Linked DNA regions of Pelodiscus sinensis. The protein of the gene in region 1 interacts with the protein of each later gene in a pairwise test. Links are inferred from orthologs where the notes say so. Each region holds a gene or a part of one and is shown on either strand. Other genes may lie near its edges.

Region 1 (7,018 bases):
GCTTTAGACTGACTGAAGCATCTGTTTATCACCTCTGAGAGATGGACTATTAACTTTAGGCATGGGAGAATTCTCCCCATCACCACAGTGAATGTCTACAGCAAAAGGCTACTGCAGCCCAGGTGCAGCATTTCTCGTGAAGACATAACCTCAATTGGGCTTGGGCTAGAAAACAGTACTGCATGCCAGTATTTCTCCATCAAGTTGATCAGTTTTTACAGAATCCTCTTTTAAAAGGCTTCTAACTTTTGTTGGTACAGAAAACGTCTTCCTAATTTGATCCTGATATTATGCTTAGTGTTTTTAAATATAGACGATAAGAAGCAACAACTGAAGGGCAGAAACCACCCCTATTTGAGCTGAATAATTTATTATGTCAACACCATTAGCTAAATCGCTAATTACTTTAATACAAACATTTGGCTGGATAGAGACCAGAATACCAACATTCTCCTTTACTTTGCTATGCATATCCCCCAGCCACCCCCCCCACACACACACACACTTTTTCTTTAAGCTTTCATTGTCCTCATAAAACCAGCCTTCTTATTTTCTTGTTGCTCATTTCCAAGTATATAAATTTCCTGTTAACAAGTTTTAAACAGGTTTCTTCATTTTCCACAACCAGTTATATTTCGTGATTATGGCCTACCAGGTAGCAGCTTCTGACATACAACTGACATCCTTCAATATCTCCTCCCCACCCCTCAGTAAAGCATTAATTCACTGTTGTAACCTTTTTAGCTGGGGAAAACCATTAGATGAGATGGCCAATGAAATGTTGACAATGCTACAAGAAGCAAATTCTAATGAGAAAGCATTTTAAAATATTGCAATTGTTAGGAAAGGGAGAACCCCCCTCTGGTTCTAGGCAAACATGAATGGGGACACCTCTGCCCCCCAAAAACCAGCTGGACATGTGTAGTATTCTATCCTATCTAGAATGCAATATTCTAGATACAACAGAATAGGACACATGTCCAACCAGTGGTCTTGGAAAAGAAACCAAGCTTTCAAATGAAGCTCTATGAAAACATCAACTAGGGCAGTGGTCTCCAATCTTTTTACACCCAAGATCACTTTCTAAATCTCAGAACAGACAAAGATCTACCGCCACGTCCCTTCCTTGAAGCCCAGCCCCTTCCTTGAAGCCCCGCCCTCTCTATTCTCCTCCTGTCCATCACTTGCTATCCCCAGCCCTTACTTACACACTCTGATAAACAGTTTATTTTTAAATTATGCGATTCATAAAATTAAAATCAGGTGTTTAGAGTTATGAAATAAATGGTCCATTTTTTAATCATGCTATTTAAATCTAAAATGAAGCATTTATAATTATACATTTTGTGGGGACAGATCTGCAGCTAGGGGCAGGGGAGAGGGAACAGGGTGCTGGGAGGGCAGAGGACAGGGTTCTACAGCAGGGGACAGGGTGCCAGTGGGGACAGGGTTCTGCAGCTGGGGACAGGGTGCCAGTGGGGACAGGAATGGGGACAGAGCTCGGGGAGTGGGGACGGGAATAGGAACAGAGTTCTGTAGCTGGGGCCAGGGGAGTGGGGACAGAGTTCTGTGGCTGGGGAGTGGGGTGCCAGTGGAGGCGGCAAGTCCCCTGCATCTCCCTCCTCCCAGGATTCTCCCCTCCCTCCAGGGAAACCAGCCCTTGCCTGCCCCAGGGCCGACCCCACACAGCGCAGGGAAGCCCTGAACGAACGCGCCTGCCCCGGGGTCGACCATTCCTCCTCCCGCATAGGGAAACCCCACGCACGTGCGCCTGCCCAGGGGGCCAACCATCCCCCGGCGCAGGGAAGCCCCGCGCGCACACCTGCCCCGGGCGGCCAACCCCCCCCCTCCCACGCACGTGCATGTCGGGAAACCCCCTGCAAGCCTCCCGCTGGGCTGACCCAGCCCTCCTTTAGGTAAGTAGCGGGGCTTCTCAGGGGTGGGTGGGAAATGGGGGCAGGACAGACAGGACGCCTCGCGAGCAACTGGTTGAGGCCTCGCGATCGACCAATAGCTCACGATCGACCTGTTGGTGACCACAGAACTAGAGTGACACACATGGGGTAGCCCTCACTCCCAAAGCTTTCTACAAGGTTTGCTTCTCACCTAGATCTAAACTTGGCAATGCATCTTCAAAGGACCTTGGAAAAGCAGCTTTCACATTGTGTCACTAAGGTCAACTAAGGCAAGAAGCAGACAAGGTACTTGCTAAAGGTCACACTGAAAGTCATTGGTCTAACACCTGGTTCTTACAACACTGCACACTTCAAAGCACAAGCTTAAACTGCCTCACCAGCATTCCCACCCTTGAACTCTGCTAAGAGGGGAGTGTCCAGCCCCTCGCCCTCAGAGCACGGGAACGGGGCAGGCACAACTCTCCCAGAGAAAGCCACCCCACCGCCCAGAAAACAGGCCATCTCACTCCCACTCACCAGCACCCAGGGACCAGCGCTAGGGGAGAGACCTGCCCCCCACACCAGGAAAAGCCGTCACCAGTGCCCGGGGAGCAGAGCCCCACTCCCAGTAGAGCCACCGCCCCACGCCAGCGCCCGGGCAGCTAGACGGAGCCTCTGAGGCGAAGCCAGGCAGCGCCCGGGGAACCGGGGACGGCAGCGCGGCCTCCCCTCGGCGCGGCTCCCGGAGGCAGACAGGCAGACAGACAGGCGGGCGGGCGGGCGCCGCTCACCTGGATGAACTGGATGGTGAGCGCGGACTTGCCCACGCCGCCGCCGCCCACCACCACCAGCCGGTACTTCTCCTGCCCCGGCCCGTCCCTGCAGCCCGCGGCCATCGGGGAGACGCGCCGGCAGCGCCGCCGGGCCGGGTCCGGGAGCCTCCCTGCGCCGCCGCCTCCGGCCGGGCCGGGCTGGGAGCCGCAGGCCCCGCTGCTGCTGCTCCTCGGGGCGGGGGCCGCGCCAGCGGCAGCGCCTGAAGCTCCGCGGGGCGGGGGAGCAGATCCCGCGCCCTGCCGGCTCCTCTCCGCGGCGGCTCCGGGCCAAGTGAGCGCGGCGGCCCCAGCGCGGCTACAAATGGCCGTCAGCGGGGCGGGGCCGCCTTCTCATTATGCTAATGACGAGGAATATTCATGAGGGGCTGCCGAAGGGGGGAGCCGGGGCAGGACGATGCAAGGGCGGTGCCGGCGGCCAGGGAGCCGCTCCAGGTGGCGGGCGAGCTGGGGGCGGTGTCTGCCCTGGGGTGCGGGCCGGGAGGCCAGAACCGTCCCCTCCCAGCAAGCAAAGGCCGGCCGGCCCCCCCGCGGCGGGCTGGCTCTGATGCGCCACAAGCCAGCCGGGCTCCCCGCAGCCACAGCGTGGAAACGGACCGCGTGTGCCCCCGAGAGCAGCCCTCGCGCCTCCCCTTTATGCTGCCCGCTTGCGTGGGCTCTCCCCGCGCGGCTCCTGCCACGGGCCCGGGCCCCCGCTATGCAGCGGCCGCGCAATAGTCCCCGTGTAAATGGAAACCCCTCCCAGCCTGGGGCATGGAGCGCAGCCCCGCGGCTGTGGAGCCTGCTGCTTTCACTAGCCAGCATGCTGGGTGCGCGGGGGTTAGTTTTATACACCTGGCCTGGGTGGCCGCGGGTGCCATGTGTACCGGACGGCATTCAGCCGGTGCTTAACAGCGGATGCATTCCCGCCTGGGCCTTTCGGTAGTACTCCGCACCTGCCAGCGGAACGCCTCACTGTCTTGAATTCATTCATCTTCACCAGACCTTCTTATGCGCAGCGCCGCTCCTTATGTCTGTACTACAGACGGGGAATAGAGGAACAAAGAGAGTGAAGCCACAGTTATCATTGCTGATTTGCTGTCCACTAATTTCATGAATCCAAATGGAGGCACCTAAAATCCAATTTCTAGAATACTTAGCACTTTTACCAGACTGTATGTTCAAAATGGGGGCATCAGTAGACATGGAGCCTTTGCATTAATAGCAAAACCCTATCACTGAGGCTAATGGAGTGATGGCTAACAGTAGTAGGCTGTTACCCGCTGGACAAATCCTAGATTCTATTCCTGTGTTTAGTAATCATTTCAGACTCTTCTTTCACTATCCCTCCACAGATCCCCTCTGCTGCCAGACCTATCTTGTACCCTGCCAGCCTGATTCTACTCTCCCTTTGCCCTTGTATGCCCCCCCCCTCCCGCTCTCTCTGCACCATGTCCTCTCCCCCCATCCCATTGCCACAGCTTGCCTCTGCCCACTTCTATCACCTCTTGGCATTCCAGTCATTTACCTTTGACATACTCCCAGAGCACTGCAGTTGGAGCAGTAGCAACACAGGAGTTTCCCTGCTCTCAGTTTCTAGCAGCATAAAGCCCCAGGCTGTTTGGCTGCTAGGAGGAGCAATTGCAGAAAAACGTTCTATTAAGCCCCTTGAATCATCTACTGCAGCATCCCCAGTATAAAGGCAATTTTCAGAAAATTTAGTACAACATGCTTGTTGATTTTATTCAGAAGCTTAAAACCAGGAGAATGCCAAAAAGCACAACACTAACATCCCTATATCCAAGTTTGACAAACTTAGCAATAACTGAAAACAGTGTCTTACAATGGAAACACTATAGGAATTGCTAGGAGCTCTCTAAAATGGGACAGGATCTCACCAGTGGCTCACCTTTCTCAAATTACTTCATTTGAACTCTAGCATGAGTCCTTTTCACTGAAAAAGAAAACATTGTTTACATTTTCTTTTTCATACTAAAAAGATTATATCACGTGACAGATCAAGCATTGTCTGAAATGTGTCACTATATAGATAAGGCTATTCCCCAGCAGCATAAAAGCCACAATAAAGAGCTATTAAATATAGAAACATCCCAACATTTGTAATACCAGAGTTGCGTATTGTGACCAGTCAAAATATGTCTACTATCTGAAAGATACCCCTAAAAGAACAGTCAGATCAGAGTTCTACATTTAGGTGTTTCTTCATCCAGCTGATGGAACATTGCTAGTAATTTCATTATGTGTGCCATGTCCCTCTCATAATCATTGACCTAGAACTATAGAGAACATAGTAAAACAATGTATTTCAAATGTCTGGACTCTGGAGCATGAATCACTGAGAAAAGAACACACAGCAATGACTGTTCAGCTGAAGTATTCTTCAGGTATTCATTCCAATGTTTTGAAACCGTGCTTGAATTTTAGGAGATCTGTGATAATCATACTAAAACATTTATTTTCATATGGGGAATGGATGAAATTTTAGTTCCCTCAAAATCAGAGAGTTTTGCCCTGGGAGTTGTCCACTACAAAAATCGCCACTACAAAGGCAATTTTCAGAACATTTAGCACATGCATGCTGATTTTATTCAGAAGCTTACAACTGGGGGAATGTGAAAAAGCACAACACTAACACCCTATCCTCTGTAGGGGCAGGATTTCACCCAACACAGCCCATAGAGCTCTGCTAAGCTCCTTGGCCAAAGTTCTAGGGAAAGAGGGGGCAAATGGCAATACTCCCCCAAGCCCACTCACAGCTAATGCCAAAGTAAGTGTCATGCTGCATAATTTACCTCATTAGTTTAAAGTTATTCAGAAAGCAAACATCTCTATATTTCCCTTACTTTTTTAGCTTTCCTATTTAACTTTCCATCCTTTCATTTGTTTTTCTTGCTGTTATACTAGTGAAACCTTATCATCATTCCACAAAAAGAGTCTTGATTTTTTTCAAGACTGATCATCAGAGTTAAAAGGTGATAACATTTAAAGTAAGTTGTACTCCATATTTTTTTAAATTTTCAAAAAAAGAAACTCCAAGCAGAGACTGAAACACATCCCGGTAGAAGTTGAACCGCCAAAATCCGGGATTCTCTGGTCCGGCAACATCCGTGGTCCAGATGTTGCTGGATCAGAGAGCTCTGGTGTACGGAAGTGTGAACCCCATACCAGGGGAGCCCCGGGCAGGCAAGGGAGAAGCAGGGCCATGGAGGCCGGGGCGCTCCAGTTATGTCTACACTGCAGAGTTTTTGCACAAAAACTTGTGGCACATCCACAACTCAAGCGCAATTTTGCGCAAGAAAATGTACAGTGAATCGACAGAACAGAGGGGTTTTTGCGGTATAGGTATTACTCTTTCTACGAGGAATAACTCCTTTTTGCAGAAGAGTTATTGTGCAAAAAGGTGTATGTGGACAGGAAATGGGGGTTTTTTGCACAAAAACAGCCTATCAAAGGAAGCACAGGTGTCCTGGTGGCCATTCTGTGACTGGCAATCAGAGCTTTCTTGCGAGACAGCATCCTGGACGCTCTCTTGCACAAAAGCGCATTGCTCTTCCGATGCGCTTTTGCATTGTGGATGCGCTTTTGTGCAAGAACTTTTTGTGGAAGTTCTCTTCATTGCACAAGAAGCCTGCAGTGTAGACGTAGCATCCGCCCCCCAGGGGTCCCTGGCCAGGCAGAGCAGCAGCGGGACCAGTGAGCAGCAGAAGCCAGCAAGCCCCGTCCCTGGGGGCAGTGGCAGCTGGGGAGTTCCATCCTGGGGAGCCACAGCAGACCTGAGCCCAAGTCTAATCCCTGCAGGCTGGAGCCCAGTGGCAGTGGGGCTGGAGTGAAGCCAACTGCAGGGAGGGGGGAGCATCCTGGGAGGCCAATGGCAGGGGACCTCCCCATATCTGACAAATTCCCTCATTTGGGAGGGGTCAGTTCCCAAGGATACCGGACAAGGGAGGTTCAACCTGTACTTATGATCTGTCTGTTCTGGCAGTCAAATCAAACTTCAGAAACAAAGCAGTATTTTGCCAAACATAAGATACCAAAAATTAATATATAAACAAATATGGAAAATGCCAGATAGCTTGTTTTAAATAATGTTTACAGTCAGACACAAAGCCCCCCTCCCCCCCCCCCCCCAGTAACAAATGAGGGTGTGTTGTGCCATAGAAGCTCTGGAGGGTTTACAGTTTATTATTCTGATCGGTAACTTCACACATGGAAGTAACCGAATGAAATCAACACTCCACCCCCCTACATAAAATTGTTCCTGGGCATTACTGTTTGCAAAATCAGAGCCCAAGA
Region 2 (7,931 bases), on another chromosome or scaffold:
AATGGCTGTGGGGATGGAGGTGATGAAGTGGAAATGAGGCATGGACAGAGGGTGGGGAGGGAGGGACCAGGGGGCCTGAAGGGAGAAGGATCAGGGAGAGGAGTGCAGGGGCAGCAAGATGTGGGGCAGGGGATGGGGGAAGAGAGATGTGTGTGTGGGGGGGGGATCAACTCACCAAGCCCCAGGTGGGAAATGGACTCCAGTTCCTTGTGTGACACCGCCTGCTGGATGGGCTGGGGCAGGCGCAGGGCCACAGGGAGAACCTCCCTAGGGGGACAGTGTATCAGACTCCAGTAGCAACTCCAGGGCTCCCTCCTCTCCCAGCGGCATCCTCCCAATCCCCTTCTACCCATCCCCCCTTCCCTGAGGACTCTTCCCCAATCCCCTTCTGCCTCAGAGCTGCCCCAACTCCCTCTGCTCCATAACCCTCCCCCAGTCCCACTGCCCCAGACACTACACCAGGGATTGCCAACCTTTTTAAGCACAAGATCACTTTTTGAATCTAAGTGAGTCTGGGATCTACCTCAAACCCAAATACCCCCGCCCTGCCCCTTCTCCGAGGCCCTGCCCCACTTCTTTCCTGAGGTCCCACCCTCCTTACTCTGTCAAGATGGGGTACAGGGGAGCAGGACAGATTGACATCAGCGCCCTCTGCCTCTGTCTCCTCCACTCTGCACAACAAGCAGGAGGTTCCCAGGGGGCAGCTTTGAGGCTCTGGGCAGGAGCAGCAAGGCAGTGTGGGGAGGAACAGTTGAAGTACCGGCACGTGACAGCCTCCCCGCCAAACCAGTCAGGATCACCTGGCAGAGGCACCAAGATCTACCGGTAGATCCTGATCTACTGGTTGGTGAGCACTGCACTACAGGATCTTAGTCCCCTGGGAGCAGGGGAAGGCTGGAGCTCAGATCTTAGAGGCTACGTCTACACTGGCCCCTTTTCCGGAAGGGGCATGTAAATTTCACTAGTCGTCGTAGGGAAATCCGCGGGGGATTTAAATATCCCCCGCAGCATTTAAATAAAAATGTCCGCCGCTTTTTTCCGGCTTTTAAAAAAGCCGGAAAAGAGCATCTAGACTGGCCCCGATCCTCCGGAAAAAGTGCCCTTTTCCGGAGGCTCTTATTCTTACTTTGAAGTAGGAATAAGACCCTCCGGAAAAGGGCACTTTTTCCGGAGGATCGGGGCCAGTCTAGACGCTCTTTTCCGGCTTTTTTAAAAGCCGGAAAAAAGCGGCGGACATTTTTATTTAAATGCCGCGGGGGATATTTAAATCCCCCGCGGATTTCCCTACGACGACTCATGAAATTTACATGCCCCTTCCGGAAGAGGGGCCAGTGTAGATGTAGCCAGAGTGTTCCCCTTGATCCCACTCACCGTCTCTGGCAGTAGGAGGCTACCAGATGCAGCAGGTCTGGGAAGCTCCGGGATGAGCCCTCCAGGGAGACTCCTGCAAAGACATGGACCCTCAGAGCCTGCAGTGCTGAGAGGCGCTCTCCCCGGAAGTCAGTACTTGCTTACTGGCCCAGTGCTGTGCCAGGGGCACCATGCTGCAGGGAGTGGGGGGCTCCATAGGGCACCAGGCACACAGCTAACCCTAAGGCGCACATCCCTACCGGCTGGTCCTTCCTGCAGGCTGTAGCTGGCGACAAAGGCCGGTGCCAGGTCATCTAGGAGGCGCAAGCAGAGGGCCCGGCGTTGGCGTGTGTTTGATCGGCGCACCAGGAACGTCTGGGGTGAGAAGGGAGCACCTCACAGCAGGGGCTATGCAGGAGTTGTGGACTCCATATCCACCGGGGCCCTGTTCAGCCCCAGTGATCTACCTAATGTGGGATCTCCCGTCAGCCTCATGGGCTCATCCAGTGTGGGAGCCCCCCACATCATACCCATAGACTCACCCAGTGTGCCCCCTCCAAATCAGACCCATAGACTCACCCAGTGTGCCCCCCCAAATCAGACCTATGGGCTCAGCCAGTGTGCCCCCCTCCAAATCAGACCCATAGACTCACCCAGTGTGCCCCCTCCAAATCAGACCCATAGACTCACCCAGTGTGCCCCCTCCAAATCAGACCCATAGACTCACCCAGTGTGCCCCCTCCAAATCAGACCCATAGACTCACCCAGTGTGCCCCCCTCCAAATCAGACCCATAGACTCACCCAGTGTGCCCCCTCCAAATCAGACCCATAGACTCACCCAGTGTGCCCCCCTCCAAATCAGACCTATGGGCTCAGCCAGTGTGCCCCCTCCAAATCAGACCCCTGGACTCCCCAGCGTGCCGCCCATCAGACCCATGAACCCACTGCCCTCAGCATTCAGCCCAGCAGGGCAGAGCCCCCTCCCCTCACCCCGGGCGGCTCCCGCTGCAGGATGTGCAGGGCAGTGGCGGAGTTGAGGCTCAGCTGCAGCCAGACGGGCTGGGTGAGGAGCAGACGATCCCGGAGGCTGACGCTGGTCGGAGCCCCCCGTGCGGGCCTGGGCTGGGGGCAGACGTGCGGCGCCGGGACATCGTACACGGGGTCACGCGCCAGGCGGAGCGGGGAGGCAGGGCTGTGAGGAGCGCAGGGAGCCCAGAGTTAGGAACCCAGGAGTCGCGGCTCCCCACCCCCGCCCCCGCCCTCCCAGAGCTGGGGCAGAACCCAGGCGTCCTGGCTCCCGCCCCTCCCGGCCCAGGCCCCTCGGCCATACCCGTGCGGCTGGTCCGGGGGCTCCATCTGGCCGGGTGACCAGGCTGCGGAGGTGCGAGGCTCCCTCTGCCAGGGAGAGGAGGCGCAGCGGGCCGCCCCCTTCCCCTGGTACCAGCTCTCCGGGCCCGGGGCAGCCCAGCCCAGCCTGCGCCAGCCCCGAAACGCCCCGGGAGGGAGGCGGCAGGAGGAGCAGGAAGGGCAAGACTCAGACCCACGTGGCTCCTGCTGGGAACTTGCTTCTCCACGCGACACGGAGCCCTGGCGGGGCGCTGAGATGCAGCCGCCTCTGGGGTGGGGCGCGGCGCGGTCTATAGCGGGAGGCAGGGGCGAGGGAGCCCTGCACACAGAGCTGCGTCCCGGTATCGGCTCCACAGCCAGTGCCCCGGCTCCGTGGGAGCCAAACCTGGCCCGGAGCAGTGGAATGCGCGTCGGCTGTGACTCACCGTCACACCCAGCCATGGCACAGGCCCGGACCGGGCGGAGCCAGCCCCAGGCAGGGATAGACGCCCCCCCCCCCCCCGCAGTCACGTTCCCAAGGCAAAGCTCTCTAGGCTGGCACAGCCCGTGCGGGGGCGCAGATCTAATCAGCCAGCCAGCCCCAGGGCAAGCGGGGCAGGCACAACTCACCAGCCTACCAGCTCACTCCTTTTGTACAGGGGGAAACTGAGGCCCGGAAAAGCATACTGCCCAAGCCAGAGCTGACACAGAGCCCAGGAGTGCTGGTTCTCAGCCCATCTGCTCGAACCCACTGGATTCCAACCCCCCAGCTAAACACAGAAAGCAGAAGTCCTGACTCCTAATCCACCCCCAACTCTAACCACTAGACACCACTCTGCTCCCAGGCGTCCTAGCTCCCAGCACTTTGCTTTAAGCACTAGACTCTACTCTTCCAGCTGGGAGAGAAAGGTCAATGCGAGGGCTGTAGGCTGTATGGACAGTCGGTAGCAGCCAGGACAGTAGAAGGAGGAGCCAGGGGACAAAGAAAGTTAGCCACAGGTGGAAAATCCATCAGAACCAAGCCAGATTCTCCCCTCCTCCCCCCATCCTGACTGCTGGGCTGTGCTCCCATCTTACCAGGAGTGAAGTTTTGATATGAATGGAGCTGGCATCTCAGATCATCCCGGGCAGAGCCCCCAGTGTCCTCTTCCATTCTCCCAGTTCCCATCCAAATGGCCCCCATTGCAGGCCCTGGCAGGGCCCCCTTCTCATAACCTCTTTGCTACCTTCAGCATCATTATTAATCTATTATTCCCTTCACTCCCATGTCAGACTCACATGTGCTGGGCTTTGAGCATGTCCAGGCCACAAGCCAAACCCTGGCAGCTGCCTGGCCACCCTGGACATCAGGGGCCCTGGGCATCATTCCCCAGGTCTTACTTTGTCTTGGGTTTTGTATCTGTCCCCATCCTCCACCCTGGAGCCCTGCAGATGCCTTTTCCCCTCTCCAGGGAGACCACAATGGCTCCCAATACAGGAAGGGAAACCGAGGCACAAACCAGGGAGAGGGCTCTGTCACTGTTAGACAGCCAGCTGCAAAACCGAACCTTGGGGTTCTGGCTCCCAGCACTCCCCCAACCCAGCGAACTCCACAGTCCTTCCAAAACTGAGGAGAGACTCCAAGGCTGTCTACTCTGGTGGGTTCTTGCACAATAACAGCCATTCTTCTGCAGAGCGTCCACAGGGCTCGCCTGCTCTTGCTTAAGAAGATTTACAGTAAAGCGTGGGAAGAGAGGGCTTCTTGCGCAAGAGCTACACTCTTTTCTAATAAGTGTAAGCCCTCTTGCGCAAGAGGGCAGTGTGGACATCCAGCAGGGGTTTCTTGTGCAAGAAACCCCTATAGCTAAAATGGTCATCAGAGCTTTCTTGCACAAGAGTGTCCACACTGCCATGGACACTCTTGCGCAAAAAGACGTGTTCTTGCATATGAACCCGCCAGCGTAGACATAGCCCAGGAGTTCTGGATCCCAGTGCTCCTGTCCCACTTGACCCCATAGAGCTCTTAAAACTGAGGCTAGAACCCAGGAGTTCTGGCTCCCAGACCCCAAACAGCTGGGCCAGCAGAGAAGGGGGTTGAGCCATGGGAAGGGTAGTGTGAGGCTGGGATTCAGGAGATCAGTTTTCTAGACAATTCATGGGGCATCAGGCGAAAGCCCCATTGTGGGGAGGGACCAGTAGGATTTGAGAGTCCAACATGGGGAAGAACCAAGATCAGGGCAGGATTCCCACTTCTGTGCCAGATCCCCCCTGTGACCCAGCCCCACTCACCCCAATGCCCTTGTAGCCCCTCCAGGGCCTGTGAAGTTGGGGTACAGCTCATGCAGAGGGGTCCCCCATTTGTGCTCCCTCTTGCTCTGCTGAGCACTGGCAGGGTGCAGGCAGCTGCACTAGGGTGCTGGGGGAGGCCTAGATGAGAACAGGTGTGGCTCAGACACAAGGCCCCCCAGACTGTCACCCATGTGAGCAGCTCCCAGCAGTAGGATCTGGCCAGGGACAGAGCGGAGGTGGCTCTCTTTTCCAAAGGGAAGGGAGGCTGGAGAAAAGACAACAGTGCAGACTGGGAGGGTCCCAAAGGTGCTGCCACTTGTGTGTCCCAGAATCAGCACAGGCTGGAGTCAGGGAGGGTCCTGACACCAAAGCGATCCACGCCCTGAAGGAACTGTGGCCAGCAGGTCTAGAGGGCTCAGACAAGGGATAGCGCACGTAGCTGAGGGGATGGTGCTGGGAACATTCTGTGCCTCAAAGGGATACAGAAGACACCCCACTCACCCCCCAGGCCAGCTCATCCCTATTCCCCAGAATACATTGAAATGAATCAAAGAGCCAAGATTGTGCATGTTTCGCTTAGTTTTTAATGTGAACACTTCCAGGGAGCTGGTCAAGACCCAGGGCTTTTCCTGCAGAAGCCCCTGGAACCAGCATCCCTATTTCCCTGTGGGGCACAACAGCCCCGGACACAGGGAGTTACGTGCCCCCCAGATTGCTACAAACACCAGAGTCCTAGCGAGGGAAGCGAGCGGTGAAGCCTCGTGCTGGTCTGTCTGCAGGGATCTGTGACGGGAGCGCTGGCCATGTGAACACTCCACCGGGCAGGGCCCCAGAGTCCTCTCCATCTGGGTCCTAGTGCAAGGGGGCAGCAAGCCGAGCCTCCGCCCAGCCCCTCGCTGCACCGCAGACGAGCTGTGGGCCCTTGTGTCCAGGAGGAGGCCTGTGCCAAGCCGCAGGGCTGAGCCCCACTCAGGCCTTGCGCACCGAGTACTTGCCCTTCTGCAGCTGCGAGACGTAGATTTTGGTCTTGGTGCCATCCTCCCGGCGCAGCCAGACCTCCCCAGTGCTGACAGCCGTGATCACTGCCCTGCAGGGGAGAGAGGGGTCATGCCAGCCCCCCCAAGGACAGTCAGTCCTCTCCACCTTGGGGCTGGATTCAGGGTCCCCCAGACCCCGTCTCGGGAAAAGGCTCTGTATCCCATTCCCTACCCCGAGCCAGCCAGCCTTGGGGCTGGATCAGAGCTGGTGCCCAGGGCCATTCCCAGGGGGAATGGGGCCTGGGGCAGTACCATCTCTCCCTATACCCCAGAGGTGAAACCCAGAGCAAATCTCCCCATCCCAGGCCCTGCCACAGCTTTAACCCTTCCAAGCATCACCCCAGCTCTGCCCTCACCCCACACTCTTCTACCTCCTCTTGCCCTGGTATTGAGGGTTTGAGTCCCACAGTGATCCAGGGAATTAGCTGGGAGCTTAGGACGAGGCGGCAGCAGGCGTAACACACCGCTCACCACAGCAGCGGTGTAACACAGCTCACCCAGCAGCCCCCTCTGCTCCAGCCCGCTGTGGCTGGGGCGCTCTGCTTCTGGCTATCACATGCCCAGAGCTCAGCGGGTTGGCAGAGGGCAGCAGGATAGAGCAGAGCAGGCTGCCAGGTCACTCTGGCTTCCACCATCACAGTGAGTGGGAGGATGACCCCCTGCTGCCCTGAGCCAGGCCTCCAGGCAATTCCCTGGATCACTCTGAGGCCCCCATGGCCTGGGGCTGGGATGGCCGCTCCATGCCGTCCTATGGATGGGATGGCTTTGCTGGTGCCGCTTAGAAGGGAAAGGCCCCGTGCCCCATACCCTCCAGCCAGCCAGTTCCTGGCCACTCACTGCGCAGGCGCCTCGTCCCCGACCTCCAGGACAACACTCTGCCCTTTGCTGTAGATCTCACCCTCGTAATGCAGTCGCCCGTCCTCGCAGCGCGCTGAGAACTGGGCTCCCGGCTTCTCCACCTTCACCAGCACTGAGGGGAGAGCGGTGGTCAATGGTAGGGGGGCTGGTGCAGCCCCTACATATGGGGATAGGCCCTGCTGGCAGCAGATGGCAGCTGCAGGGCCAAGTTGGCTCATGTCCTGGCTGAGACACGAGGGGACACCAGAGGCCAGACTGGAACCTGTGCCCCTAGAGAAAAAGGCCCCATATCTCATCCCTTGCCCAGCTCTTACCATCTGCTTTTCTTTTCTGGGGGGACACGGCTGCTTTAGCCTGTAGGGAGAGTCAAGATGATTAGAGAAACTTATGCAGGGAGCACACTCCACCCCATACCGCTGCTCACTGAGCTATCTGGATCCCACCCATGCTGTTCCCTCAGGAAGGATGGCAGCATTAGCCTGACATACAGATGGGGAAACTGAGGCATAAGGTAAGGTACTCACTCAGCAGCAGTGAACAGAACCGGGGAGTCCTGATTTCCAGCCCTCATTCTCCACCCATGAGTCTTGTTTCCCCACCTTCCCTATCACACTAACCCACCAGACCTCATGATCCGCTCCCAGAGCCCAGGAGTCCTGACTTCCAGCTATGCACATGGTGACTTTTTAAAAGGGTATATAAAGAATAGATGAGAAAATAATCCCATTTCCAGGTGTTTGATCCCGAACAGCAGTGCTAGAAAGGGGATTATTATGGGATACCCCGGGTGTACTGAAGAACAACTCAGGGTCTGTGTGGGCGGTTTAAGGGACCCAAGCATTGTGTGTGGGGCCAGTGGTGGATGAGGGGTGGGGATTAGAGGAACCAGGTGTCCTGCATGGCAGCTGGAGGACATGGGGAGAGTGAAGGGAGGGGACTAGGCATTGTATGGTGGCCAGTGGCGTGCGATGGAATGAGGGTGATTAAGGGATCCAGGTGTCCTGCGGGTCAGCCTCACCTTTTTGATGGCTGTCCAGTCTTCCAGGATGTCGATGTCCCGCAGCATGTAGACAATGTAGGGGCGTGAAGGG

The links.
Region 2: the proteins of RRAS2 (region 1) and RIN1 interact in binary tests that used the Homo sapiens proteins (3 or more experiments, as listed by UniProt). The link is inferred for Pelodiscus sinensis from reciprocal best matches to the Homo sapiens genes RRAS2 and RIN1.

Annotation. Positions count from the first base shown.
Region 1 is NC_134714.1:108,922,310-108,929,327, forward strand, and holds the start of RRAS2 (ras-related protein R-Ras2), read right to left. Parts: upstream 3,026-7,018; 5' UTR 2,792-3,025; coding exon 2,687-2,791; intron 1-2,686. UniProt on the Homo sapiens protein: GTP-binding protein with GTPase activity, involved in the regulation of MAPK signaling pathway and thereby controlling multiple cellular processes. Regulates craniofacial development.
Region 2 is NC_134721.1:32,368,254-32,376,184, reverse strand, and holds the start of RIN1 (ras and Rab interactor 1), read right to left. Parts: upstream 3,039-7,931; 5' UTR 2,708-3,038; coding exon 2,682-2,707; intron 2,544-2,681; coding exon 2,342-2,543; intron 1,726-2,341; coding exon 1,611-1,725; intron 1,445-1,610; coding exon 1,372-1,444; intron 268-1,371; coding exon 176-267; intron 1-175. Other genes in the region: BRMS1 (breast cancer metastasis-suppressor 1), read right to left, coding at 5,915-6,032, 6,820-6,952, 7,155-7,194, 7,859-7,923. UniProt on the Homo sapiens protein: Ras effector protein, which may serve as an inhibitory modulator of neuronal plasticity in aversive memory formation. Can affect Ras signaling at different levels. First, by competing with RAF1 protein for binding to activated Ras.